Linked DNA regions of Anolis sagrei. The protein of the gene in region 3 interacts with the protein of the main gene of each other region in a pairwise test. Links are inferred from orthologs where the notes say so. Each region holds a gene or a part of one and is shown on either strand. Other genes may lie near its edges. The genes, in order: TNNT1, MAFG, NFE2L2 and MAFF.

Region 1 (7,032 bases), on a different chromosome or scaffold from region 3:
CGAATTTGGGGAGCAGGGTGAGCTCCCGTTGTTAGCCCCAGCTTCTGCAGTTTGAAAAAATGCAAATGTGTGTAGATCAATAGGTATGGCTCCGGCAGGAAGGTAATGGCACTCCATACAGTCATGCTGGCCACATGACCTTAGAGGTGTCTATGGACAAGGCTGGCTCTTCAGCTTAGAAATGGAGATGAGCACCAACCCCCAGATTTGGACACCTTTACCATTTACCTAGTTAGCCAATACTGGACTCTGATGCTGGGTGAAAAGGTGTTCCTGATGTAGAGTGCAACAGTATGCCCTTTCCACAAAAGCATGAACTGTCATTTCTTTTCTTCCAGGTGAAAAACAGAATCTGTCATCATGTCTGAGGAAGAAGTTGAGTATGAGGAGTAAGTAACACCAACTCTGGACCATGGTCACAAATGTGTGGTAATGAAAGCACCCACACATATTTCATATTTTTTGGTGGGGGAGGTATTCAAGCAAGCTGAAATATCAATTTGCTTTCTCTGAGAATCCACTTACAGATACAATTAGATCCAGAGAGGTTAGAATAATGGGGTGAATTATTCCATCTACGTCATATTTTACATATTCACAGACTTGCCAGACATAAGATTCAAATGGCTCCTTCAATGTAGATTCCAATAATCACATTTGAAAGTAGAGGCATTTGAAACTGCAGCTTTGAATTTTGAAACTGGGCCCAGTTTTAAGTGTTATGGTTTCAAGGACATCTGGGGAAATTCAACCAAAATGTATGAAATTGACCCAAACAGTTGAACAGGGATGGTGAAGTGACATGGCCTCTCCATTTCTCCCATTTTTCTGAATGTTCAGCATACTTGCATTGACACTAATTACACGGTGTTTACTGTGCAGAAAAGAAAATTACTTTTGCTAGGCATAACCCATTATTAGCTATCAATTCCTTTGTCCCCCTGTAACAGTGCTCCAACTAAATTATAGTATTTCTGTAATTTATTAAGTTTTTCCAGTGTTAATTATGACTGATAGAATCATTAAATGATAGAACTGGAATGGATCAAATCTAGCCCAACACCTTGCCATATACAACTAGAGCCCTCTACAAAAGTGCCCATCCAGTCTTGGTTTTAAGACCTTCATGAGAGTTCACCATTCTTCAAGAGTCCTATTTCACATTTGGAAAGCCCTTATGGCAAAGAAGTTCTTCTTAATGTATAGGTATTTGAAGTTCTTCTTAATGTATATGTCATTTGAATCCACTGGTTTGTATTCCAGATGCAGGAACAAGCTCACTCTGAAACCATTGGCTCTGTAGTTTGGTGAGCCACTAGAGCTCTCTACAGAATAATTCTAAATTCCCTCCCTACAGTGCGGATTCCAGAAATCCATAGGATGTTGCCATGGCAGTTAAAGTGAATGTGTAGTTCTATTTATTTATTTTTCGTGTCAGGAGCAACCAGACAGTTGTATTACATTTTTAACAAAACAGACAGACAGACAGACAAAACACAAAGTTTGCAAGCTTGATTGATTAAATGTCCTTTAACCAGTATCTGGCCACTTGGAGTGCCTCTGGTGTTGCTGCAAGAAGGTCCTCCATTGTGCATATAGCCAGGCTCAGGTTGCATTGCAGCAGGTGGCCAGTGGTTTGCTCTTCTCCACACTTGCATGTCATAGATTCCACTTTGTAGCCCCATTTCTTAAGATTGGCTCCGCATCTTGTGGTGCCAGAGCGCAGTCTGTTCAGCGCCTTCCAAGTCACCCAGTCTTCTGTGTGCCCAGGGGGGAATCTCTCATTTGGTATCAGCCATTGATTGAGGTTCTGGGTTTGAGCCTGCCACTTTTGGACTCTTGCTTGCTGGGGTGTCCCAGCAAGTGTCTCTGTAGATCTTAGAAAACTATTATTTGATTTAAGTCGTTGACATGCTGGCTGATACCCAAACAAGGGATGAGCTGGGGATGTCACTGCCTTGGTCCTTTCACTATTGGCTGCTACTTCCCGGGAGATGTCAGGTGGTGCAATACCGGCTAGACCAGGGGTCCTCAAACTAAGGCCCGAGGGACGGATACGGCCCTCCAAGATCATTTACCCGGCCCTCGCTCAGGGTCAAACTAAGACTGAAATGACTTGAAAGCACACAACAACAATTATCTATGTCATCAGCCAAAAGCAGGCTCACACTTCCCACTAAAATACTAATAAGTTTATATTTGTTAAAAAAAATTCTTCATTTTAATTATTGTATTGTTTTTAAGTGTTTTTTGCACTCCAAATAAGATATGTGCAGTGTGCATAAGAATTCATTCGTGTTTTTTCAAATGATAATCCGGCCCTCCAACAGTTTGAGGGACCGTGACCTGGCCCTCTGTTTAAAAAGTTTGAGGACCCCTGGGCTAGACAGTGTAATTTCTCCAGTGGTGTAGGGCGCAGACACCCCATGATAATGCGGCATGTCTCATTAAGAGCCACATCCACTGTTTTAGCGTGGTGAGATGTGTTCCACACTGGGCATGCATAGTCAGCAACAGAGTAGCATAGCGCAAGGGCAGATGTCTTCACTGTGTCTGGTTGTGATCCCCAGGTTGTGCCAGTCAGCTTTCGTATGATATTGTTTCTAGCACCCACTTTTTGCTTGATATTCAGGCAGTGCTTCTTGTAGGTCAGAGCACGGTCCAGAGTGAATCCCAGGTATTTGGGTGTAGTTCTATATCTGTACAGTGTTAAATAGTCTCAATTTGCAGAAAACATAGGAGTAGCAATGATGGGAAGACATGCAACAACCATGCTGCTCTGAGTATTGTGGAGAGAAAAAGTGAGGTATAAAAAAACATAAACATAACAACAACAACAACAACAACAACAACAACAACAGTTCCTCAGTGGTCTAGGTACCGTTCATGGGTCATCTACTTAGGAACAGGTCCTTAAAGGAGACATAAATGCAGCATGTTGGAAATATTCAAGTCTGTTTGACTGCCATTGCTCCCATCCTATAAAACTTCAATGATGGAATCAAGGGTTTTATTTACCAAAACAATTCTCTGACTTTTAGAGTAAGCAAACCATGGCCATTGATTGACTGTGGGCATACTCATACTATATCATGGTTATATTATATAGTATAAGTATGTCCACATATTTGGGTCAACACTGAAGGATGGATGCACTAATGTATATATCCATTTCTTTCTCTTACTTTCTCTTTCTCTTCTCCTGCCAATCCCGTTTTCCACACACCAGGGAGCAGCAGGAAGGTAAGGGATATCTATCTAAGCCATCTGTTTTTGCTCATTATCAATTCCAGGTGCTGGTTTCCAGCTTATTTTTAAAAAATTTAAACATCACCAAACTTCATCAAACTGGCACCTTCTGAAATGGGGAAAACTACAGCCCCCATAATCCCTGACAGCATGGCCATTTAGCTGATGGAGAAATTGGCCAACACATCTGACGGTCGCCAATTTGAAGAAGGCTGGTGCACTCCGTATTATCTGTGGATTGATAGTTGTAACCAATTATCAGTTGGTTATTTTCCCATGTTGACGTTCTGAAAGGTCTGAATGAAAGTTGTCATTGTTATTTGCTTCTTTCCTCTAAACTTAGCCTAATCTACCTCTGTTTAAGCTTTAATGGTGTAGATTTTTTTGCCAGGTATTTTTGCACATGACAATATCAACTTGATCAAACAAAAAGCCATGGTATTCTTTTTCACACCTGTGATCATTATTGTTTTCTCCATCTTCGTGGAGGCCCAGCAACAGTGGAGGCTCAACTTACTTCGCTCTTCTGGACTTTCCATTGTTTCTGATTTAATTTAAGAGCTATTGTCCGCACGATAGGCAAATAAAAGTCTTAAAGACCAACTTATCTTTGGGAACATTCCTCCTATTTAGATTTGTTCTCAGAGGCGGCCAGCAACATTAAGTGATTGGGAAAAAACCTGTACTTTTATCCATATTCATTTGAGCTACATTTTGACATGAAACTAAGAATCCCTCTTTCTCTCTTTCTCTCTGTTTCTTAAAGAAGAGGAACAACCTGAAGAAGAAGGTGAGAAGACCTCATCTGTTTATCCCTCTATCCCAAGTATTTCCATTTCTTTCTTTTTTTCCAGGCTTGTGGCAAACAGAAATCCAGCTGGAATCAAATAGATTAAGGAAGTGGTTTCGTCATAGAAAACCAGGGTCTCTTTCACACTTCATAGTTATTGCATTCTGGTATTACCTTAACTGCTGTGCCTGAATCCTAAGGAACAAGATTCGTTGTTTGGTGAGGCACTATAGCTCTCTTCTCTCATAACAAGGGAAATCTTAGGATACAAGAAATGGACAGTGGGCTATCACAGTGTAGCAAGAAAGAAACTCTGGATACCTACTCCCCAAACAACCTGGTTTCTAAGTACAGTAGAGTCTCGCTTATCCAACATAAATGGACCAGCAGAGCACTGGATAAGTGAAAATGTTGGATAATAAGGAGGGATTAAGGAAAAGCCAATTAAACATCAAATTACATCATGATTTTACAAAGCACCAAAACATCGTGTTTTGCAACAAATCGGCAGAAAAAGCAGTTCAATACACGATAACATTATGTGATAATTACTGTATTTACTAATTTAGCACCAAAACCTTGCAATGTATTGAAACAGCTGTGGATCTGGGAAGGGGGGGGGGCAGACTGCGTTGGATAATACAGAACATTGGAGGAGCGAAGGTTGGATAAGCAAGACTCTACTGTAGTTCTTCTCCCCAAAGAGAATGAGGCCAAGGGAGCAAAAAGCAGGTTTACATTTATGGCATGGAGGTGTATTCATTTTGGTTGGAACTGGTTAGATCTGGCTTTACTCTTCAGGTCTTTTATAGTTCTTTCATTTCCTCAAATTTCTCCCTTCTGGTTTTCAGCTTGAGGAGAATCATAGAAATGCACATGCTCTTATATTCCTGGATTTTCCTTTGAACTGATCGAGTATCACTGACATTGTCTGACTTGGTGTACTACAATTCCCACAACTCCTAGAATTGGACAAGGACGTTGAGAGTTGTTTTCTCAAAACAACTAGAGGGGACTAGGTTGGGGAAGAGTATACTGTGTTATGAAGGTAAAGATAAAGATCTCCCCTGACATTACGTCTGGTGGTGTCCGACTCTGTGGAGTGGTGCTGAGCTCCATTTCTAAGCCAAAGAGCCAGCATTGTCCATAGACACTTCCAAGGTCATGTGGCACCACCAGAGGGTCCATTCTGTGTATTAACTTGGTCCAATATGTGTTCAGACTCTTTTATGTTTATGACCAGCATTCCATCTCTTAGGTGCTTGAAGAAGGTCCTTCACCGATGTAACATCATTTTTCCTTTTTTCCTTTAACCAGGTTTCACACCATGGTCATGGTGGTTTGTTTCGCCTTTCAGTCATAACCAAGCTTTTCTTCTCTTGACCTTTTTTCCCCAATCTCAATATCTACCCACAGAACAGATGTGTGTCTTATATCCATTCTGAGTAATGTGCATTATTTTTTTATTGAAAACACAGTCCAAATGTGGCATTGGTTTCCAATTTTAAACCCCCTCCAACACAGCCCCTATTGGGTGATTCTTCACTACCACCATTTAAGAGAAGAGAACCCCCAGTGGCACAATGGGTTACACCCTTGTGCTGGTAAGACTGCTGACTGATAAGTCAGCAGTTCAAATCTAAGGAGAGTGGGTTGAGCTCCTTCTGTCAGCTCCAGCTGCCCATGCAGGGACATGGGAGAAGCCTAACACTAGGATGGTAATACATCAAACAACCGGGCGTTCCCTGGGCAATGTCCTTGCAGACAACCAATTCTCTCACACCAGAAGCGACTTGTAGTTTCTCAAGACACTCATGACACACAAAAAATTAAGAGAATGAGGAATAAAAGGCATGAAACTTGTTGTGCCTCTTGGAGGCAAGGAAAAGAATAATAACACCATACAAGCATGCAACCAAATCACTCTCTATGAATGGAGAAAGGGGAAAAAGCTGAGCAGAGCATTCTTCTTTTCAAGGATAAGACCTGTTATGGTTTCTTTCCATTCTTCTGCTCCCCAGAACCAGGGTTGAAGTGGTGGGTGGGCTTCCTTCTCATTGGCTAACAAGTGTTTTTAATTTCCCTGTCCCCCTTTACCCCCATCCTGTAGCTCAGTCTCCCCAACTCTTCTACCCATCAGATGTTTTGGATTATAGGTCCCATCAGCCACAGACAGCATGGCGATGGGACTTGTAGCCCAAAGACACAACTGGAGGGTAATGGGTTGGGGATGGCTGTTGTAGATGCCTTTTTCTAACTGCATTTTCCTTTCTTTCCTGGATTTGGTCCTTCCCCTACAACCTCCTTCTCTCTTCTCCTCCTACCTCTCCCGACTTTGCCTCTGTTCCTCCCCCCACATCCTGTCCCTGTGATGTGTGTTGGTTGCAGTGACTGAAGAACCTGAGCCAGCTCCTGAGCCAGGTATATAACTCTCCTTCGCTCCGTCCTTCGTGGGGTGGGGGGCCAACCCAGGAGGAAGACACAAGTAGAAGAAGAAGGCAGCGAAGAAGACAAATCACATTGCTCTGCCTTGACTCAAGACAAGACATACCCTCCAACATTTCCCACACAGAAAGAGAATGCATGTGACCAAATAGCTTCAAAGTGCTGCACATGTTTACTGATGAAGCACACAGGAATTTGCTTTAGCCTGGACCTACTGGAAAAGGCAATATTCTGCCCCTCATCTCTTTGGTGCAAACTACTTTGGCACTTTGGACTGAGTTTTCCTGGCTGTATGGCCATGTTCTAAAAGCACTCTCTCCTGACGTTTCACCCACATCTATAGCAGGTATCCTCAGAGGTTGTGAGGTCTGTTGGAAACTAGGCAAGTGGGGTTTCTATATCTGTAGAGTGTCCAGGGTGGGAGAAAGAACTCTTGTCTATTTGAGGTAGGTGTGAATGTTGTAATTGGCCAGCTTGAGGTCAGTTTCCAACAGACCTCATAACCTCTGAGAATGCCTGCTATAGATGTGGGTGAAATGTCAGGAGAG
Region 2 (7,302 bases), on a different chromosome or scaffold from region 3:
TTTGTCTCCATGGGGTCCACTGTACAGGTGTGGGGAAATCTCTCATTCACTTCAGAAGTGTGTTTCTTTGTGCATACTACTTACTTACTTTTACTTAGGCAATCCCTCGTTGGCCGAGTAGGATAGTCTTCCAGGATCAGAATTCTTGTGAGACTGTAGGTGGCTGTGGAGCCCTGTTCTTGATCTGCATCTTCTCTCGCAGTGAAGGCATTGGTTTCCAAGTGGAAGGCGGTCCCGGTCGGGGCTGGCTTGACGACCTTCCTCTTGGCACGTTTCTCTCTTTCACCCTCCATTCGTGCCTCTTCAAATTCTGCAGCACTGCTGGTCACAGCTGACTTCCAGCTGGAGCGCTCAAGGGCCAGGGCTTCCCAGTTCTCAGTGTCTATGCCAGAGATTTTAAGGTTGGCTTTGAGCCCATCTTTAAATCACTTTTCCTGTCCACCTTTGTGTATAATGAAGAATGCAAACTCTTAATTGGCCTTTATATGTTGAGCCTTATATTTTGGGGTATTTGTGTGTACATGTCCAAATGCTTCAAAGCCAATGCAGTTTCCATTTTGTCGCCAAAGGGCTTAAGCAGCCAAGTAGCAGCAAGGGGTCTGCCTAATCCATAACCTACTGCCAGAGCTCAGGCTAGGAGCCCAAACTGCATTAATTCTACAATATAAATGCTAATTGATGCATCAAATTAATGTGATTTTAACCCCACTTTAACTGCCATGGCTCAATTATATGAAGTCCTGGGAGTTATAGTTTTATATGGCCTTTAGTTATAGTTTTATATGGCCAAACACCCCTTTTGCCTCAGCCTTCTCCCAAAAGGAGACTGGTGTTCAACCTGACCAGTACGAAGCTGAAGAGGTAATAGGGGAAATGCAACCCAAAATAGGTAAGCAAGTAGTTTAGGAATACCTGGCTACTCTAAATGAATTCAAGTCTCCGGGGACAGATGAACTATGTCCAAGGGTATTGTAAGAACTAGCAGAAGTCATTTCAGAACCACGGGCAATAATCTTTGAGAATTCTTGGAGAACTGGAGAAATGCAGACTGGAGGAGGGCAAATATTGTCCCTATCTTCAAGAAGGGACAAAAAGAGGATTTAAACAATTACCGTCCAGTCAGCCTGACATCAATACCAGGAAAGAGTCTGGAGCAGATTATTAAGGAAGAAGCCTACAATCACTTAGAAAGGAATGCTGTAATTAATAAAAACAACAACATGGATTTCTCAAAAACCAGTCATGTCAGACTAATCTTATCTCGTTTTTCAATAGAGTTACAATCTTGGTAGATACTGGGAATGCTGTGGATGTATTATATCTTGATTTCAGTAAGGCCTTCGTCAAATTCTGCTATGAACTTCATACAAGCAAACAAATCAAATGTGGGCTAGGCAATACTACTACTAGGTGGATTTGTAATTGGTTAAGTGAGTGAACCCAAAGAGTGCTCCCCAATGGTTCCTCTTCATCCTGGAAAGAAGTGACTAGTGGAGTGCCGTAGGGTACGGTCCTGGGCCCAGTACTGTTCAATATAGTCATTAATGACTTGGATGAAGGTTTAGAGGGCGTGCTTATCAAGTTTGCAGATGACAACAAATTAGGAGGGATAGCTAATACTCCAGAGGACACGATCAGAATTCAAAATGACTTTAACAGATTAGAGAGAAGGGTCAAAACTAACAAAATGAATTTCAACAAGGACAAATGTAAGATACTACACTTGGGCAGAAAAAAATGAAATGCAACAATACAAAATGTGAGAAAGATCTTGGAGTCTTCATAGACAACAAGTTGGACATGAGCCAACAGTGTAATCAGCATCTTAAAAAGCCAATGGGATTCTGGGCTGCATCAACAGGAGTTTAGTGTCTAGACTGAGGGAAGTCACTGTGCCTTTGTATTCAGCTTTAGTCAGACCTCATCTGGAAGACTCTGTCCAATGCTGGACACCACAGTTCAAAAGAGAAGCTGGAAGGTGTCCAGAGGAGGGCGACTAAAACTAAAGGCCTAGAGACCATGAATCCTTAAAGAACTGGGTATGTTTAGCCTGCAGAAGAGAAGATTGAGAGGAGACACAATGGCCATGTATAAATATGTAAAAGGTTGTCATTTTTATAATGTTTTATTGTTCTGGTTATTGTTAAATGTTTTTAATTGTGTTACCTTGTAATCTTTGTCTATGCTGGGCTTGGTCCCCATGTAAGCTGCCCTGAGTCCCTTCGGGGAGATGGTGGCAGGATATAAGAATAAAAATATTATTATTTGATACATAACAAGATAAGTACACAGCAAACAAGTTCACTATGCTGGCCTTTATATTTGATCACATGCCAGACACTTCCCAAATGTCTAGGACTGTGTGATGTAACGGCGAATAATGCATGCCAATCTGAGTAGGGTGGCCTTTTGCAGCTGACAGAAGGTAATTTTGTCAGCGCAGATTGTTTTTTAATGCAGGCCAAGGTCTTTAGGCACTGCACCCAGTGTACTGATCACCACTGAGACCACCTTTACTGGCTTGTGCCAGAGTCTTTGCAGTTTTATCTTTTAATCCTCTAATAATAATAATAATAATAATAATACAAGAAAGAGGGAGTAGGTAATAATAATAATACTTTTACTTTACTTAGGTGATCCCTCGTAGTCCGAGGATGATGGTCCTCCAAGAGTGGTATCCTGGGGATAATAATAATAATAATAATAATAATAATAAATATTATTATTACAAGGAAGAGGGAGCAGGCTTGTTTTCTGCTGCCCTGGAAACCAGTATGTGGAGCAACTGGTTTATATGACAGGAGAGAAGATCCCACCTGAACATTAGGAAGAACTTCCTGAGCGTAAGAGCTGTTCAGCAGTGGAACTCTGTGCCCCGGAGTGTGGTGGAGGCTTCATCCTTGGAGGTTTTTTAAATAGAGGCTGGGTGGCTATCTGTCGGGGGTGCTTTGAATGCAATTGGGGATTGGACTGGATGGCCCACGAGGTCTCTTCCAACTCTATGATTCTATGAAACTTGAAAAACATCATATGCCAGGACCACTGTGAATGGTGTGGGGAGGCTGGCTGGCCACCTGTCGGGGCTGCTTTGACTGTGCTGTCCCTGCGAGGGCGACTGGGGTTGGGGCTGGGCGGCCCCTGCACGCGGCGCTTGCCCAACTCTATGATTCCCGGAGCGAGTCTTTACATCCATCCATCCCTACCTCTATCCATCCCTCCCCTGGGCGGCTGCACCGACTGGCTTCATGAATGGAGGCACGTGACCCAAACATCACGTGACGCGTCCGTGAGCAGCGGTGGCGGCGGCGGGCCCCGGACTCTCGGTCCCTCTGAGCGGCGTGGCGGCCTCCCCGTCCCCGCCCCGGCCCGGCCCTCCCCTTCCCCGGCGGCACCGAGCGAGCGAGCGGAGGGTGAGCGAGGGAGAGAGAGAGGCCGGGGCCCCCTCCCCTCCTCCCGGCCTTTGAAGGGAAAGACGGAGGGAGCCTGCCTGCCTGCCTGCGTGTGTGTGTGTGTGTGTGTGCGTGGAGGAAGAAAGAGGCAGCGGGGCAGGAGAGGCCGCGCGCGCGGTGTGTGCCCTGTGCGCGCGTGCTGGGGAGGGGGCTCCTTCCCTCCTTCGCCATGTAGTCTTGCGTGGAGTTTCCCTCCTGGGTCCGTGTGCTTCCGGGAAGGCCACCCTTGCATCCCCCCCCCCCCACCTTTTCCTTTCCCTTTCCCGCGGGTTTCCAGGTGTGGGCCCAGGTGAGCGGGAGGCGGCCTCTCCTTCCTCCTCCTGCTCCTGCTGCTGCTGCTGCTGCGCCTCGCCTTGTCTCTGACAGGTGGGTGGGCTTCCCTTGTCTCCCCCTCCCTCTGCCTCTGCCTTTCTTTCCTTTTCCTCGCGGCGTGGGAGAAGCCTGCCCTGGTTTGTTTTCTCCCCCTCCAGCTTCTCCTTGCTAGAAATGCTCCCCCGTTTCCTCCCGGATCTCTTTTGTTGTTGAGTTGCGGCGGGGAGGAAAAAGTAGTTGACCCTCCCCTTCCCCAGCCAGTCCTTGGGTGATCGTTGTTGTTGTTATTATTCGAGAGTGTGTGCCCGCTCCTTCCCTTCCTTTCCTTGGGGCAGAGGAGGGGAGAGGCTGCCTGCAGGCTGGCCGTCTCCTCCTTCTCCCTCTCTCCCTCTCCCTCTCCCTTGTGCAGCCATGTCTGGCAGAGTGGAAGGGCTTGTGGTGCTGACTCATCAGGTGTCTGTGGGGGGGGGGGGAGGCAGGGGGAGCAGCCTGTGCCTGTGAGTGAGGATTTGAGGGGAGGGCATGAGGATCAAGGGGAGGGGGCTCTCTCACCCCCTTGCACCACCTCCCGCCTTTGAGCCTTGCTGGGTGACATTGCTGACTCATCAACATGAGGTCACCACTAGGTAAATGCTGCATATACACATACACAAAAAGGAAGGGGGTCTGGCTGTAGTTTGGGGGAGGGGGCTGCCATAGGTCAGCTGCAGAAGAGACCTGACCTGCTGATTCATCTCCTGGCAGAGAAGAGTGCCAAGTTTGGGTGGGAAAAGGGGAGCACCTGAGATTCCCTTTCCCCCCCCTTTGCTTTGGCTGCATTGAGTGTGTTGGGAGAAGCGCAGCCTGGCAGGACAGAAGGGTGCCCATGACGATGACCAAGCGGAGAAGGGGTATTTGGCAGAACTTTTGGCAAGAGATCCTTTTCTGAAAACTTGTGGGTGCTTAAGGTGGGTCAGGCACACATTGGGTTGTTTTTGACAGCAGCCTATCCTCCGCTGTCTTTTTTACTGGGAACAGAGACTCTGAGCCTTTCCCAAGGAGTGGGAATCATGCCTTTTTATGTCTCTGTCCGTACGGTAGTTACTCCTGTCTTGTATCATTCTGTTGATGTTGTCAAATGCTGTCGCTAACATAGTCATTCTGTGCTGCCATCTGTAGCAGACATTATTGTTTTATATACTTTCACCTGGACAGTTTTACGGGCCATTTTGGGCCAGGCAGTTTACATGTTGCCCTAAGCACCTCGTCTCCATGGTTCTTCTGTTTTTATTGGCTTTGGTCCTGAAGAAAAAGGACAGCTTTATGGGAAGGACTACTTCTGTCTCTGCTGTTAGACAAGGGCCCTGTGAAAGAGGTTGGTATTGTGTCACACTGAAATGGCAGGGAGGGCTTTCATCTAGAGATTTGTAGGATGGAGCACATCTGTGCAACAAGTGCATGTTGTCCTCTACTGAGGGACCTTCCACAGAGCCATATAACACAGAGTATCAAGGCAGACACCCCCCAATATCTGCTTGGAACGGGTTTATCTGAGGGACCTTCCACACAGCCAAGTAACCCAGAATAGCAAGGTAGAAAATCCCAATATCTGCTCTGAATTGGGTCATCCAAGTCCATCCTGCCATATATTCCAGCTCAAAGCAGATAATGTGGAATTTTATTCAGCTGTGTGGAAGGGACCTGCATCCCTAGTGGGACATTTCCCATAGCAAACCTGGCTGGAGCCTGTCATCGTCACCTGCAGCCACGACTCCGGAGGGCAGCCTGTCCTCTGCCAGTTGGTGGGTGGACAGAATGGTCAGTGTCTATCTTGTGCTCCAGATGTGTTTGCATGGGATGTTTTCTGGTAAAAGCAGCTAGCCATCTTGGTTTAATATGCTTCTGACCCAGGCATGGGCAAACTTCGGCTCTCCAGGTGTTTTGGACTTCAACTCCCAGAAATCCCAGCCAACTTACCGGCTGTCATGAATTGTGGGAGTTGAAGTCCAACACATCTGGAAGGCCGAAGTTTGTCCATGCCTGTCCCAACCTATGGATTTAAAACAGTAAGTTAGGAGGGCTCTGGAAAGTTGCCTGATTTAGACTGCAGAGTAGGTGAAACTTGGTATTCCTATAACAGATCTGTGTCATTTGCATATCTATTCCTGTCTTGAAAATTGATTTTTAAAAAATATTATAGGGGGCATCATAAACAGGGATAAATTGAGTCAAGATAGTTAGGAGGCAGACTTGATTTAAAAACAAAACAACCTACCTACAACATTGCATTTCTTGGAGGAAGCATTGGGTAGTGTTGTACCCTTTACTGCATGTTGGGATTGTGTGGTATAGAGATCATACTGCCGGTCTTGAAGGGGTGATGTGCAAAAGTCTTCCAATTTTTGTATCTAAAATACTGCAATGTGGACAGTTTTCCCTCTGTTTAGATAAGTGAAATAACGTGAGGTATTTATATATTTTATTTATTGTGTCAGAAGCAAATTGAGAATACATTTATAATGTATAAAATGCCACAAACAAAGTTAAAAGCTTGGCATTATGCTAGATTTCCTTTGACCAGAAGCTGGCCACTTGGAGTGCCTCTGGTGTGGCTGTAAGAAGGTCCTCCATTGTGCATGTGGCAGGGCTCAGGCTGCACTGTAGTAAGTGGTCTGTGGTTTGCTCTTCTCCCCACTTGCATGTCATGGACTCTACTTTGTAGCCCAATTTCTTAAGGTTGGCTCCACATCTCGTGTTGCCATAAGGTGTTTATGACAAATGGGAAACAAAATTGATGTGTCAGGGCTTGAAGCAAGAATTCAAAGAAACAGGGAAATGAATGAAGTTCTATTTCATTTTGATTGTATGCTTAGCTTAGTGATGTTAAGTAATGAGGCTGGCATCTCAGTCTAAGGTCATGTAGGAACAACTAATTTAGGTCCCCATCCCACCAGTTCTGCTGACTAAGAGGCACGCTCACAGCAAAAGCAATGGTGAAGCACTTAGTATATAAATACACTGTACAGGGGAGTCATGTCTTCTTGGAGGGGATAAGATTTTCTGGTGACCATACAGCTCTGAAAGTCTTACTGGATATCATTGAGTTCATATTCCTTTCCCAGGTTAGAACTCTTGACAAAGGGATCACTATATTTCTGAAGGATAATTTGGAAGCTCAGTTTGATACCTTCCTTTAAATGGATGTCAGTGGCTATGTGCTTTTAAAGAAATACAGGGTTATGTTAGGGAGACTTTTTGTCCTACACCTGTTGGGAAGCCTCCCACTGTGGGCTGTCATCCAGCTCCTGGTCCCCCCTTGCTCCCGTCCTGCCGCCCTCTTTATCCCTTACAGCTGGGCCTCCGGTGATGGGCTGTCTTTACTGCTGGAATGGATGACGTCACCATGTTTACACTCGTTTGATGGCACTGCTCTGTGAACCAGGAATGTTGAGAATGGGGCCTGTGTTGAATCATGCACTCTCTGTCAGCTCTGTTGTGAGCGAAGAATTGGCGGTGCTTGTGCTGAGTGCAGGCCTTTTGAGTCCTGGCGAAATGTGTTGAG
Region 3 (7,377 bases):
TACCACTTTAGCAACAGATGAAGGCTTTTGTAGTCTCCATGGTTTACAACACTATTTTATTGCCGTTTGTATGATGCTGGATTCAGGCATACCATAAAAAGAACACTGTTGGACAAAGTTGGGTTTTGCAAGCTCTTCCGTCCCTCCAAAAAGTTGCTCAAGCAGATTGGGGAAGTCACCAAAAGAGTGGGAGGTGAGACTGGCTGAAGGGGAGAAATCCAGTAGATCAACTCCCCCACAAAAAGAATGGAGGGGGGAAACTGTGGGCCCTTCCACAGAGCTGAATAAAATCCCACATTGTCTTCTTTGAACTGGGATACATGGCAGTGTGGACTCAGATAACCAAATTCAAAGAAGATATTGTGAGATTTTCTGCCTTGATATTCTGGGTTATATGGCTGTGTGGAAGGGCCCTGTGATGATAGCAAAGTGTAGCACTAATGCAGTTTGATCCTTTAACTGCCATGGCTCTCAATGCTATGGTATCCTGGGAGCTGTAGTTTGGTGAGAGACCCGCAAATATTCCACATGGCTCTGTAGACTACTGACATCAGATGAAAGCCATTATGTACATTATTGTTCTAAATATGAGAGGCTATTTCCTGTTGGCAGAGAAGGCTAAAGACCTTGTCAAACTGCAACTATCGTGATTCCATAGTCTGGAGCAATGGCAGTTAAAGTGCTGTCATATAGTATTAATTCTACAATGTGGATGCACCCTCTACTCTTCATCACACTTGAGAATGAATCCACTTAAAATCCGGTATCTGCCTCCTGCAGAATGCTGGGGTTTGTAGTTTAGTGAGGCTGTTAAAGGATCCTCCCTAAACTACAAACCCCAGCATTCTGCAGGAGGCAGAAACTGGATTTTAAGTGGATTCATGTGCCACCAAAGTGCCTATGCTTTCTTATTTTTAGTAATATTAGTAAAAGTAAAGGTTTCCCCTTGACATTAAGTCTGGGGGGTTGGTGCTCATCTCCATTTCTAAGCCGAAGAGCTGATGCTGTCCTTAGACACCTCCAAGGTCATGTGGCCAGCATGACTGCATGGAGCACCATTACCTTCCCGCTGACATGGTACCTAGTGATCTACTCACATTTGCATGTTTTTCCGAACTGCTAGGTTGGAAGCTGGGGCTAACAGAGCTCACCCCGTCCTGCGGATTCGAACCGCTGACCTTCCAATCAGTAAGTTCAGCAGCTTAGCACTTTAACTCATTGCATCATCACAGCCCCATATTATTACCGGAAAGCAAATGAAGGGCACAGCCCTGTTACCTAAAAGTGATAATTCCTTCTAAGCACAAAGGTAAAGAATTTGCTGCTTTATGAACGTATTGAAAAAGTAGCAGCAGCTCCATGGAAAGTCTGCCTCCTTTCAGTAACAGTCTAAATATCTTACTAGACTGCACATTTTGCAATCTTTTTGTGCATTTATTTATTATCCTTTTGGGTTTCCCTCAATCACATATTTTATTCCTACCCCATCCAGGGTTTTATCATTTTATCTCGTTCATTTGGCCTGTCCATTTTGTTTCAATTTTATACTGTGCTAATTTGCTTTATTTATGTTATTTTTGCTACTATACATATTTTATTCTGATGCAATTTTGATTGTCTGCAGTCTGTATTTTACTTTTTGCTGTATTGTATTTTTGGGCTTGGCCTCATGTTAGCCACCCCGAGTCCCCTTTGAGGAGATGGTTGGGGGGTATAAATAAAGTTTATTACTATTATTATTATTATTATTATTATTATTATTATTGCTGTTGTGTCAGGAGCGACTTGAGAAACTGCAAGTTGCTTCTGGTGTGAGAGAATTGGCCGTCTGCAAGGACGTTGCCCAGGGGATGATTTGATGTTTTTATCATCCTTGTGGGAGGCTTCTCTCATGTCCCGGCATGAGGAGCTGGAGCTGATAGAGGGAGCTCATCGGCCTCTCCTCAGATTCGAACATGTGACCTGTCAGTCTTCAGTCCTGCCAGCACAGGGGTTTAACCCACTGTGCCACCGGGGGCTCCATATTATTATTATTATTATTATTATTATTATTATTATTATATGTATATAATAGATCCAGATGTGGGAAAACAAAGTGGTGAAGCAACAAGAAAAACAGATCCAGGGCGCATCTCCACCAGGCCTGGACAAACTCTGGCCTTCCAGGTGTTTTGAACTTCAACTCCCACAATTCCCAGCAGCTAGGGCAAACTCTGGTCTTCCAGGTGTTTTGGACTGCTAGGAATTGTGGGAGTTGAAGTCCAAAACACCTGGAAGGCCAGAGTTTGCTCAGGCCTGATCTACACTGTAGAATGAATGCACTTTTGACACCACTTTAACTCTTATTGATCCATTCTACATAGTTATAGGACTTCTGGCTTTTCTTTGCCCTTCTCTGCCCAAGAGTGCTGGTACTTCTCCAAACTACAACTCCCTCGTTTCCAAACCAAAACAGGGCCCCTTCCTCTTGTCAAGGCCGACCGAAGAGCCAGTGAGTCAGCGCATTCGAGCCTGGCTGTGACGTCACGGCCTAGAGGGGCGTGGCTTAGAAAAAGGAAAAAAAATAACACCGGCTTGGACCGCTGTGGCGATCGCAGCAATCGAGGGGGCGTGGCCTATCCTTAACCCCGCCCCCTTTCCTCCCGCACGGAGGTCTCTCTCTGCCCCGCCCCTCCTGGGGAAGGGGATCCAAGTACCCCTAAAGTGAGCCTCACCTGCGGCATCTCGACCTCCATGGTGACGTCACTGGCGATGACGCAACGGGTTCCACGCCGGGTGCGGGGGGGGGGGGGGGAGAAAGGGAGAGTGAGAGAGAGGCTTCGCCGCCTAACGAATCAAGCGGACTGAGGCTCTTCCTTTTCTGGACGGGACGCTTTAGCTGCCTCTCTCCGGCGGTGACGCCGACACAGCCTTCTCCTCCTCCTGCTTCTCCTCCGCTGTCCCTGTCCCGCTCTGCTCGCCCTCCGTCCGTCCTCCCTGCCGGGAAACCACCAGCCGCCTGCCCCGCCTTCTCTCCCTTTCTCCCTCCCTCCCTCCCCCCGGAGAAGGAGGGGCCGAGCCGGGAGGCCCTCGCGGTTGGTCCACACTGGAGGATAAACCCACTTTGGCACCGCTTTAACTGCCTCAGTGCTGTGGAATCCTCGGAGTCGCAGTTCAGGGAGCAGAGAAGGCTCAAACCCTTGCAAAAGGGCCAACATCCCATAGCATTGAGCCATGGCGGTTAAAGTGGGGTCAAACTAAATTAACCTCACAGTGTAGACCAGGCCTGGGCAAACTTGGGCCCTCCAGGTGTTTTGGACTTCAACTCCTACAATTCCTAACAGCAGCAGCAGTTAAAGTGAAGTCAAACTCCATGAACTTCACCGTGTAGGCCAGGCTTGGGCCCTCCAGGTGTTTTGGACTTCAACTCCCACAATTCCTAACAGCCGCGGCAGTTAAAGTGGGGTCAAATTGAATTAACCTCACAGTGTAGACCAGGCCTGGGCAAAGTTGGGCCCTCCAGGTGTTTTGGACTTCCAACTCTCACAATTCCTAATAGCTGGTGGAATTGTGGGAGTTGAAGTCCAAAACACCTGGAGGGCCCAAGCTTGCCCAGGCCTGGTGTAGACGCTCTGGGCCCGAGTGAAGAGAGAGGTGGCCAGGGGACAGTTCCACCTTGTCTCCTGCATGATTGTGTTTAATATGCTACTGTTTTAATTGTTTTTAACTGTTTTATGGTGTTCTGAGCATTGAATTTTGCTATTGTTAACCACTTTGAGTCGCCCGAGGGCTGAGAAAAGCAGTATACAAATATAGTAGATAAATAAATATGTCATCAGTTGGGGACCCCTCCCCCCCCCCCCCCCCCCCCAAGAAATAACTGCTGCTCTGGGCCAGAGTGAAGAGAGAGGGGAGCAGAAGACAGTTCCACCTTGTCTCCTGTGCTAGGCTAATAATATAATATATTGTATATACATATAATATTATGTAATGAAATATAATACTAATAAACATAATTATATGTTTATATTACATGTAATATTACTAGTAATATCACAATATAATGGAATAGTACACTATAATAATATTTAATATTGATATTGTACTATGCTAATAATATATTACCCGGTGGCATAGTGGGTTAAGGCACTGAGCTGCTGAGCTTGTTGACCAAAAGGTCGCAGGTTCGAATCTGGGGAGTGGCATCAGCTTCTGCTGTCAGCCCCAGCTTCTGCCAACCTAGCAGTTCGAAAACATGCAAACGTGGGTAGATCAATAGATAACGCTCCGTCGGGAAGGTAAATGGCGCACCGTGCAGTCATGCCGGCCACATGACCTTAGAGGTATCTGTGGACAATGCCAGCTCTTCAGCTTAGAAATGGAGATGAGCACCGACCCCCAGAGTCGGACACGACTGGATTTAATGTCAGGGGAAAACCTTTACCTTATGTATATATATCTTGTAAGCCGCTCTAAGTCTTCTTTGGGGTGAGAAAGGCAGCATATATATCATAAATAAATATTTCCCATCTGTGAATGGTGTGGAATCCATTGAGGCAGAATCCATGGATATGGAAGGCCAACTGTACATCATGGAGATCGGTTACTGTTGTGTGCCTTCAAGTCAATTCTTACTTGCAGCAACCCATCCTGAGTTTTTTCTCTGACTTACCCAGTTGGTTTTCATGGCACAGTGGGGATTGAAACCCATTGTTCAACACTCAAACCACTGTGCCGCACTACAGATGGGACTCAAGTCTAACAATGACATTTCTGTTTCATATACAGTCTATACATGTCACCTGAAAGTAATTCTTCCATCAAGGAACATTCATATCCACTAATCTGCAGACAATGTTGTTGGAGCATGCAAGGAATCAGTGAGTCTGTGTGTGTCAACTGTAAAATAAGATGAAGCTCATTCGTCGGGCAATGCCCAAGGAAATGGCTAAGCCTGGGACTTTTGGCTACTGTTACATTTTTGTTCAGGCTTTAGCTATGCAAGTGCAGAGAGAAACAGTTTGAAGAGAGAAGCAGTTTGGAGCGTACTCTCGCTTCATGAGCTGCTGAAGGAGTTTATCCACATGGACCGAGAAAGACCATTCAAATCTATGTATATAATAAAAGGCAGTGTTTGTATGTGTGCGGCAGGCAGTGTATGTGGCAGCTTTCAGATTGGCTGCCAATTCCACAGGCGAATGCAACCTCCACAAATAACTGACCTGGACCAAATTTGGCATGCATGACCCACTTTACATCCTGGTGCAGTTTGGAGGAGGATGGGCCATGGATGATTGGATTTGCAGTACCTTCACTTACTTCCAGATATCACTACAACCTCCAGGAATGATGAGCCTGGGCTAAACTTGGCACACAGACCCAATGTGGCCCACTTAATGTCCTGGTGCAGTTTGGCAGGGGACCCAACCACAGATGATGGGATTTGCAGTATCCTCATTCAATATACCTCCCCCACTCCACTGCGATGCCCACAAATGACAAAACTGGACCAAATTTGGCACACAGAACCCCTATGACCCACTTTACATCCTGGCATGGTTTGGAGGAGGCAGGACCATGGATGATGGGACTTATAGTACCTTCACTAACTTCCAGAGAACATTGTGACCCACACCAGTGACAGATCAAAACCAAACATGGCACACAGAGTCTCCATGACCCACTTTATGTCTGGTATAGTCTGTGGGATGACAGACCATGGACGATGGGACTTGCAGTACCTTCACACACTTCCTGAAGCCACTGCAACTCACACCAATGACTGATCAAGACCAAACCTGACACACAGAGCGCCCATGATCCACTCTACATCCTGGTTTCGTTTGGAAGAGGATGGACCACAGACAATGGGACTTACATATGGGAGTTGTAGTTCACCCACACCCACTGAACCCAGTCAACATTGGATCTAGACTAAACTTGGAGCACAGACAAATAATGCCTTTCTCAAATAACCTGGGTCCTCAAGCTAGTCTCTCATAAAAAGGACTTTATGTAAGTTAATGCAACTGATCACATTTTATATATATTGTTCTCAACTAAGAAGAGTAAACTACTTGTTCTTTACTGTTCACCTGCGTGGCATATTTTCTTTCTCTGGCAAGGCTGTGTGTGGGCTGATCAAACGTGAACTACACGTGGTTTATTTTACATTACGCCACAAATGTGACACACCAGTTAATGCATACCCCATATTGTTGTTGTTTTTTTTTTAAAAAAAAAAGCCAATGATACCTGCTGTTCAATTTGGTAGCTGCATTTTATTACATAAGGTCACAAAAGTATTTGGGGTTTTTTTTTCATTTATTTATTTACAGCATTGGAAACTAGGCTCTGTTGGAAACCCTACTTGTGAGGTGTGTTGTTTCCAACACACCTCACAACCTCTGAGGATGCCTGCCACAGACGTGGGTGAAACGTCAGGAGAAAATGCTTCTGGAATATGGCCATACAGCCCAGAAAACTCACAGCAACCCAGTGATTACAACCATGAAAGCCTTCGACAATTATGTGAATATGCTTTGTGTTCATATAAAACCTTCTATGCACTCTACTTACACACACACACACACACACACACACACACACATATATATATAATCAAAATCCTTTATTTCTGTTATCTTTAACCTTTCACATATTTGTTTAAATTCTACTTCTATGCTTATCATTCATGTTTTTACTGAGTAGAGTGAAACTGATCTTTGTAAAACCTATTGCCGTTGTAGCTATGACACCCAATAAAAGTTTGTTTTGTTTTGTTTTTAAACAGGAAGAACAGATCCATTTCTCTATTGATTTATCTACACCTTGGGATTTCTCCGGCCTCTTATTATTATTATTATTATTATTATTATTATTATTATTATGGTACAAATTAATTGTTTGGAATCACTGCAAAAATGTTTGTGGACATGCCAAGGCCCAGAAACACTGTTTGGGAGGAATATATTTTAGAGCATGAGTAATGCAGTCATGCTGGCCACATGACCTTGGAAGTGTCTATGGACAACGCTGGCCCTTCAGCTTAGAAATTGAGATGAGCACCAACCCCCAGAGTTGGACACGACTAGACAATGTCAGGGGAAACCTTTACCTTTACTTAAGTGAAACCATGACTGTTGAACATTGAATAATTGGATAATAGAGTTGGAAGCAACCCCATGGGCCATCTAGTTAGCCTGTGTTTAAAACCTTCCAAGGAAGGAGTGTACACCACACTCCCAAGCAGAGAGTTCCACTGTTGAACAGCTCTGACAGGTGGAATATGTAAATAAGGGATCATACTATATGTTCTCTATCCCATTCCTACAACTGCGTAAATATGTTTCAAAACACAAGGATTTAATATTACTCTGTTGCAGCTGAGGAAGTGGA
Region 4 (6,864 bases), on a different chromosome or scaffold from region 3:
CAGGCAGCAGGTAAAGCTCAGCAGGGCTGTAACTGTGGCTCTTTTTAGACCAGCTAGTTAAGCTACTACTCATTTCCACACTGCAGTCCCATTTGAGAAGGCATGTTGCTATTGTGTAAGAGGGAAGCTGAGCTTTGAGGATATATATATATATATATATATATATATATATATATATATACACACACACACACACACACACACACACACACACTACCTGGCCTGCTTAGTATCAGTCAAGAGAACCAGCTAGGCCAGTTTCAAACCAGGTATTTTCTAGGGCTGTCCAGACCTGGGTGCAAAAGTATGGGAGACTAGATGTCTACCAAGATTGCCACTGATGCCATTCTTGAATCTAAATAGTGGACTGTTGCTCAAGGAGTCTCTGAGAACTATATTGGGGTACATCTACACTGTATAATTAATCCACTTTGACAACACTTTAAATGTTATGGAGCACTAGGAGTTGTAGTTTTACGTGGTCTTTCAGCCTTTCCTGAGGAATAGCGCTGGAGCTTCACCAAACTACAAAACCCAGGATTCCACAGCATTGAATCATGGCAAGTAAAGTGGGGTCAAACTGCATTAATTCTATAGGTAGATCAGACATAGGCAAACTTGGGCCCTCCAGGTGTTTTGGACTTCAACTCCCACATTTCCTAACAGACTACTGGCTGTTAGGAATTGTGGGAGTTGAAGTCCAAAACACCTGAAGGGCCCACGTTTGCCCATGTCTAGTTTAGATGCACCCTAATATGTCCTTGGACACTTTGTGTCACCTGTAGATTTCTGGCAACCCCATGCATTTTATAGGATTTTCCTAAGCAAGGAATACTTGGAGGTGGCTTTGTTAGTTTCCTCCTCAGACATATCATCTACAACCCTAAAGGTGCCGGATCCCATCTGATCTTGGAAGCTAAGCAGGCTTAGTCCTGGTTAGTACTTGGATGGGAGACCATTAACTAATACTAGGTGCTGTATGCGATATTTCAGGAAGGAAGTGGCAAAACCATCTCTGAGTATTCCTTGCCTAAGAAAAGTTCATGAAAGTGATGGGATTGCCCACACATAATCTGGGACATAAATATGAAAAGTAAATAAATACATGCACTGTGAATGACGTCTTTATTTTGATGATGGTAGTTATGTGTCCTACTTTATGGAAGACAATGAATACTCTTCCCTTTGAAGGTGCTCTTTATTTTACGGGTGTGGAACGATTGGCCCTGGAGGTGTTTGGGACTACAGTGCCTATCATCCTTATTGCTTTGCACGGTGGTTAGAGGTTTTGGGACCTGGAATCCAAAACATCTAGGATATGTTGAATATATATATATATATATATATATATGACACACACAAGAGTGTCTTTATACTACAGAGCAGGCATGGGCAAACTTCGGCCCTCCGGGTGTTTTGGACCAGCTGTAAGGAATTGTGGGAGTTGAAGTCCAACACATCTGGACTTCAACATTTTTGAAAAGTTTGATATATATTAATTGAGATATATATGTGTGAATTTGCAATTGTGTTTGTAACTATAACTGTATTTGTAATTGAAACCAAAGAAGAAAGAAAAAATGTGAAGAAATATTGTAACTGGTTTTGTAACAAATGATTTTGAAAATGTAAATATTGCAAACATTGTAAATACTGCAAAATTAAGTATGTCTCAATTGTAATTGTTAGTAAATGTGTTTGTAGTACATATTTATTATAATAAAATTACGTGTGTGTGTGTGTGTGGATAAAAATACTTATTTCCAAAACACCTGGAGGGCCGAAGTTTGTCCATGCCTGCTATAGAGCTAATGCAGGTAGACACCACTTAACTATCAGAGCTCAATGCTATGGAGTCCTGGGATTTGGTGACATTATTTTGCAGAGAAGGCTAAAGGCCTTGTAAAGTAGTGTCAGGCTGCATTAATTCTACAGAGCAGATGCAGTCCAGCTACAAGGTGTGCATTTGTTAGCCAGGGGCAGCCAGCAGAGCCCCGAAATTGCGCACCGGCAACTAACATCTGGACAGCAAGTACATAAGTCACCTACTCACCATTTCTCCCCACTGTGGTCCACCTATGTAAATATTTATGCTTTTGAATGTGCAAATTTTATGCAAATATGCAGTTTCTTTCGCCCTTCCTTTGATGTACTGTTTACATGCCACTTCAATCTTGACAATATAATTCATATACCAAGTTCTTGGGAACAGCAAGAACATGGGACTTAAACTTCCTTTTCCTTATTGCTTATCAAAGCTTGGGCATGTAAATGTTCCAGAAGAGCAACATCCACATGCCATTTTGGGTCAGTGCCCAGTAACCAGAATTACATGCCTAGAACTTACATTAAACATGCCTTTTATTTATATTATGTGTGTCATTTTGAACTATGGATGCATCTCCATTGTAGAATTAATACAGTTTGACACCACTTTAACTGCCATGGTTCAATGCTACGGAATCCTGAGAAATGTAGTTTCACAAGGGCCTTAGGCTTCTCTACTGAAGAGTTTGGTGACTCACCAAACTACGTTTTTAAACTGTTGTTGCAAGTACAGCAGTTTAAGATTGAAGGTGCATCCAGGGGCGGCTCAACCCATTATGCAAAGTAAGCATTTGCAGCATAGCTGATTTTGCCCAGGGGCGCTCTTGAGGTGCTCTTGGGGGAAAATAGACCTTGACATATGCGAGTTGTAGTTACTGGGATGTATAGTTCACCTACAATCAAAGAGCATTCTGAACTCCACCAATGATGGAATTGAACCAAATATGGCACACAGAACTCCCACGACGAACAGAAAATATATATCAGTGATTGGTTGGGGGGGGGGGGGGGGGCAAAATACTGTTTGCTTCCTGTTGAAAATTACCTAGGGCCGTCTCTGGGTGCATCTACACTGTAGAATCATAGAATCAAAGAGTTGGAAGAGACCTCAAGGGCCATCCAGTCCAACCCCCTGCCAAGAAGCAGGAATATTGCATTCAAATCACCCCTGACAGATGGCCATCCAGCCTCTGCTTAAAAGCTTCCAAAGAAGGAGCCTCCACCACACTCCGGGGCAGAGAGTTCCACTGCTGAACGGCTCTCACAGTCAGGAAGTTCTTCCTAATGTTCAGATGGAATCTCCTCTCTTGTAGTTTGAAGCCATTGTTCCGCGTCCTAGTCTCCAAGGAAGCAGAAAACAAGCTTGCTCCCTCCTCCCTGTGGCTTCCTCTCACATATTTATACATGGCTATCATATCCCCTCTCAGCCTTCTCTTCTTCAGGCTAAACGTGCCCAGCTCCTTAAGCTGTAGAATTAACCCAATTTGTCACCACTTTAACAACCATGCCTCAATGCTACAAAAGCATGGAAGCTGTAGTTTTACAAGGTTTTAAGCTGTCTCTGCCAAAAAAGTGCCATTCCTTTACCAAGCTACAATCCTCATGAGCCATAGCGATTGAAGTAGTGTCAAACTGTCCACACTGCCTTATATCCCAGTTCAAAGCAGATAATGTGGGATTTTATTCAGTTGTGTGGATGGTGCTGAAGATGGGAAGCAATACCAGCCCCAGCCGCACAACCTCGAGGTGCGTGTCCCTTTAAGAACCCCCATGCCCGGCTCCAAGATGGCGCCTGCCTTTGCCCTCTGCTCCGCCCGTGCCCTTCACTAAGATGGGGAGGGAGGGGAAAGAATGATGTCATCGCATGACTGTGTTTTTATGAATGAAAAGAATCCTGTGAGTGAGTAATTCCAGGAAACTCATATTACAACTCAGCAGATCGCTCAGCGCGCAGCCCAGCTCAGCCCTTTCTCGTCGCGGGGAAAACATCCACTTCGCGATTTTTGGGGTTTTTTGGTTGTTATTTATTTACAGAAACAAACCAGGAGAGCCCAGAAGGGGGAAAAGGAGGCAGAGGAGGGCAACGAGGAAGGAGGAGGAGGACAAGTCAACAAAAGAAGTGAGTAGATTGGTTTGTCACTCTGGAAGGGAAGGAAAGTTACAGCAGGAGGGACTTTTAACCCCAATGCCTTTTGCTAGACCATGAGGAGAGCAAGAGAGAGCCTGGAAAATATCTAAAAATAATATTTCTGCCCTTTGGTTGGATCAGGATGGCAGAGAGAGGCGAGAAAATGTCTTGTGTTTTGAGGAGTGGCTGGGGGTGGTTTCCTTCCCTTGTTCCAATCCGGGGCGTTTTGAAATAAGATGTATTTATTTAGATTGTTGTTGCTTATTGTTGTTTCCTTGGATCTTCCCAAAATCCACTCGGTTCCCTTTCCCTCCAGCCTTTCCCCACTGGTGTCTCGAGGGTGCTGCATTCACAAACAAACATAAAAATAGAGCAGGAAATCGCATAATAACAGAGGAGTTACTCATGGCTCCTGTTCACCATGTGGGTGCACGTGTTGAGGCCTGGGTCACATGGAGTCCTAGCTGGCTCCAGTTTCAAACTGGGGTTTAATGGGGGGGCTTATAAGGTTAGCGGCTGAGGGGGGAAAGGAAAGGGCCTGAGGCTGTGAGGAATGGTGGGAGTTGGAGTCCAAAACACCGTTTGCCCATGCCTGGTCTAAAGCAGTGGTTCTCAATCTGTGGGTCCCCAGATGTTTTGGCCTTCAACTCCCAGAAATCCCAGCCAGTTTACAGGCTGTTAGGATTTCTGGGAGTTGAAGGCCAAAACATCTGGGGACCCACAGGTTGAGAACCACTGGTCTAAAGGATTCTCAGACGAGCATCTGTCAGGAGGGCTTTGATTATGGCATTTGGGTTTCCCTTCCTTCCCTCTCTTGGGTTCTGACATCCATCCCTCCTTTAATGGGAGGGGGAACCCAATAGGGAAATGCCTTCACACAGGATCTATTTCTGCCCAAAGAATGGATCTATATCAGGCCCAAACAAATTTGGGCCCTCCAGGTGTTTTGGACTACCAACTCCCACTATTCCTAACAGCCTCAGACCCCATTATTTTCCCCTTCAGCCGCTTAAGAATGTCAGAATGTTGAGACTGGCCAATCAGAAACCATATACAAATTAGTAGGTCGAAATAGCTCATGCATGAGCCAACTTGGGCCCTCCAGGTGTTTTGGACTACAACTCCCACTATTCCTAACAGACTCAGACCCCTTTATTTTCCCCTTCAGCCGCTTAAGAATGTCAGAATGTTGAGACTGGCCAATCAGAAACTATATACAAATTAGTAGGTCGAGGTAGCTTATGCATGGGTCAACTTGGGTCCTCAAGGTGTTTTGGACTACAACTTCCAGCAATCCTAGCAGCCTCAGAACACTTTATTTTCCCCTTCAGCTGCTTAAAAATGTTAGAATTTTGAGACTGGCCAATCAGAAACCATATGCAAATTAGTAGGTCGAGATAGCACATACATAGGCCAACTTGGGCCCTCCAGGTGTTTTGGACTCCAACTCCCACCATTCCTAACAGCTTCAGATCCCTTTATTTCATAAAGAAAGTATTTATTATTATTATTATTATTATTATTATTATTTTACTGACACAAAATCACAGTATGGCACAGCAAACGAGATCTATATGCTGGATTTCGTATCACAAAATCACAAGTCAAACTTCCCAAGCGTCTAGGACTGTGTGATGTATATTATTATTATTATTATTATTATTATTACATAACATTAAGCCATGGCAGATAAAAAGGTATCAAACTGCACTAATTGTACAATATATAGATGCATCCTCAGTTAACAGGTGCTTACGGGGATTGATAGAAGCCGGATAAATGGATTCTCTAGTTGCTTGGGATTTGCTATTATAAATAAAAATAATACGTACTATACCATAAACCCTTGTCTTGACCTGATATTATTAATGAAATGCAGCAATTTAAAGCAAATTTATCTCAACTAAAAATAAAATTTCAGGCAAAAATATATACATATTAAATTTATTATTTCTTTGATTTTTTTGCCAGTTGTTTAAGATCTCTGGTTACTTGAATTTTGGTTAACCGAGAGTCTACTGTGTTTTAAAAAGCCACACTTAATGTCTAAAGTCCTGGGGGTCCAAATTTTTCTCTCTGGAAGCAAATTGGATGGGCCACTAGTTTCTTTGTTTTGGAGTCATAACTAATTGTCATAGTTGGGGTTCAGGAAGGAATCCAGCATGATATTGTGGTTTAGTTGGAGACCAGGATTCAAATCCCTAGTAGCGTGTAGAAACCCATTTTGTTGAGTCTTAGGGCGCCTCTACACTGTAGAATTAATGCAGTTTGACACTACATTAACTGCCATGGTGAAATGCTATGGAATCCTGGGACTTGTAGCTACACACAGCCAACTTCTGTTGTGCATCCCAGGGTCTGTAGTTTGAGCTATGACAGTTAACAAGGTGTGAAACTGCATTGACGCCAGTATAGATTTTTATTTATTGTATCAGAAGCAGATTGATGGTACACTGTGTAGAAAAACCACAAAGTTAAAAATTTGGCATCATACTAAATGTCCTTTGACCAGAAACTGGTCACTTGGAGTGCCTCTGGTGTCGCTGTGAGAAGGTCCTCCATTGTGCATGTGGCAGGGCTCAGGTTGCATTGTAGTAGGTGGTCTGTGCTTTGCTCTTCTCCACACTCGCATGTCACGGACTCCACGTTGTAGCCCCATTTTTTAAGGTGAGCTCTGCATCTCGTGGTGCCAGAGCGAGATGCAGCCTCAACAGGACGGAGACAGCAAACCCTTCTAAACCAATCTTGCCAATAAAACTGTGATAGGGTGCCTTTGGGTCACTATAAATTGCAAATGACTAGAAGGCATGAACAGCAACAACAAAAATAATCCCTTTAGGCCAAAACGTGCTGGAAATCTTGGAGCATTTGGTTGTTTTTGCCTGTTTCATGTGTAATACATGTATCAC

The links.
Region 1: the proteins of NFE2L2 (region 3) and TNNT1 interact in binary tests that used the Homo sapiens proteins (3 or more experiments, as listed by UniProt). The two-hybrid records come from large-scale screens. The link is inferred for Anolis sagrei from reciprocal best matches to the Homo sapiens genes NFE2L2 and TNNT1.
Region 2: the proteins of NFE2L2 (region 3) and MAFG interact in binary tests that used the Homo sapiens proteins (3 or more experiments, as listed by UniProt). The link is inferred for Anolis sagrei from reciprocal best matches to the Homo sapiens genes NFE2L2 and MAFG.
Region 4: the proteins of NFE2L2 (region 3) and MAFF interact in binary tests that used the Homo sapiens proteins (3 or more experiments, as listed by UniProt). The link is inferred for Anolis sagrei from reciprocal best matches to the Homo sapiens genes NFE2L2 and MAFF.

Annotation. Positions count from the first base shown.
Region 1 is NC_090026.1:20,229,271-20,236,302, forward strand, and holds the start of TNNT1 (troponin T, slow skeletal muscle), read left to right. Parts: upstream 1-4,018; 5' UTR 4,019-4,039; intron 4,040-7,032. UniProt on the Homo sapiens protein: Troponin T is the tropomyosin-binding subunit of troponin, the thin filament regulatory complex which confers calcium-sensitivity to striated muscle actomyosin ATPase activity.
Region 2 is NC_090022.1:113,769,885-113,777,186, reverse strand, and holds the start of MAFG (transcription factor MafG), read left to right. Parts: upstream 1-4,302; 5' UTR 4,303-4,371; coding exon 4,372-4,387; intron 4,388-7,302. UniProt on the Homo sapiens protein: Since they lack a putative transactivation domain, the small Mafs behave as transcriptional repressors when they dimerize among themselves.
Region 3 is NC_090021.1:190,489,154-190,496,530, reverse strand, and holds the start of NFE2L2 (nuclear factor erythroid 2-related factor 2), read right to left. Parts: upstream 3,017-7,377; 5' UTR 2,736-3,016; coding exon 2,715-2,735; intron 1-2,714.
Region 4 is NC_090025.1:164,302,937-164,309,800, reverse strand, and holds the start of MAFF (transcription factor MafF), read left to right. Parts: upstream 1-3,862; 5' UTR 3,863-3,946; intron 3,947-6,864. UniProt on the Homo sapiens protein: Since they lack a putative transactivation domain, the small Mafs behave as transcriptional repressors when they dimerize among themselves.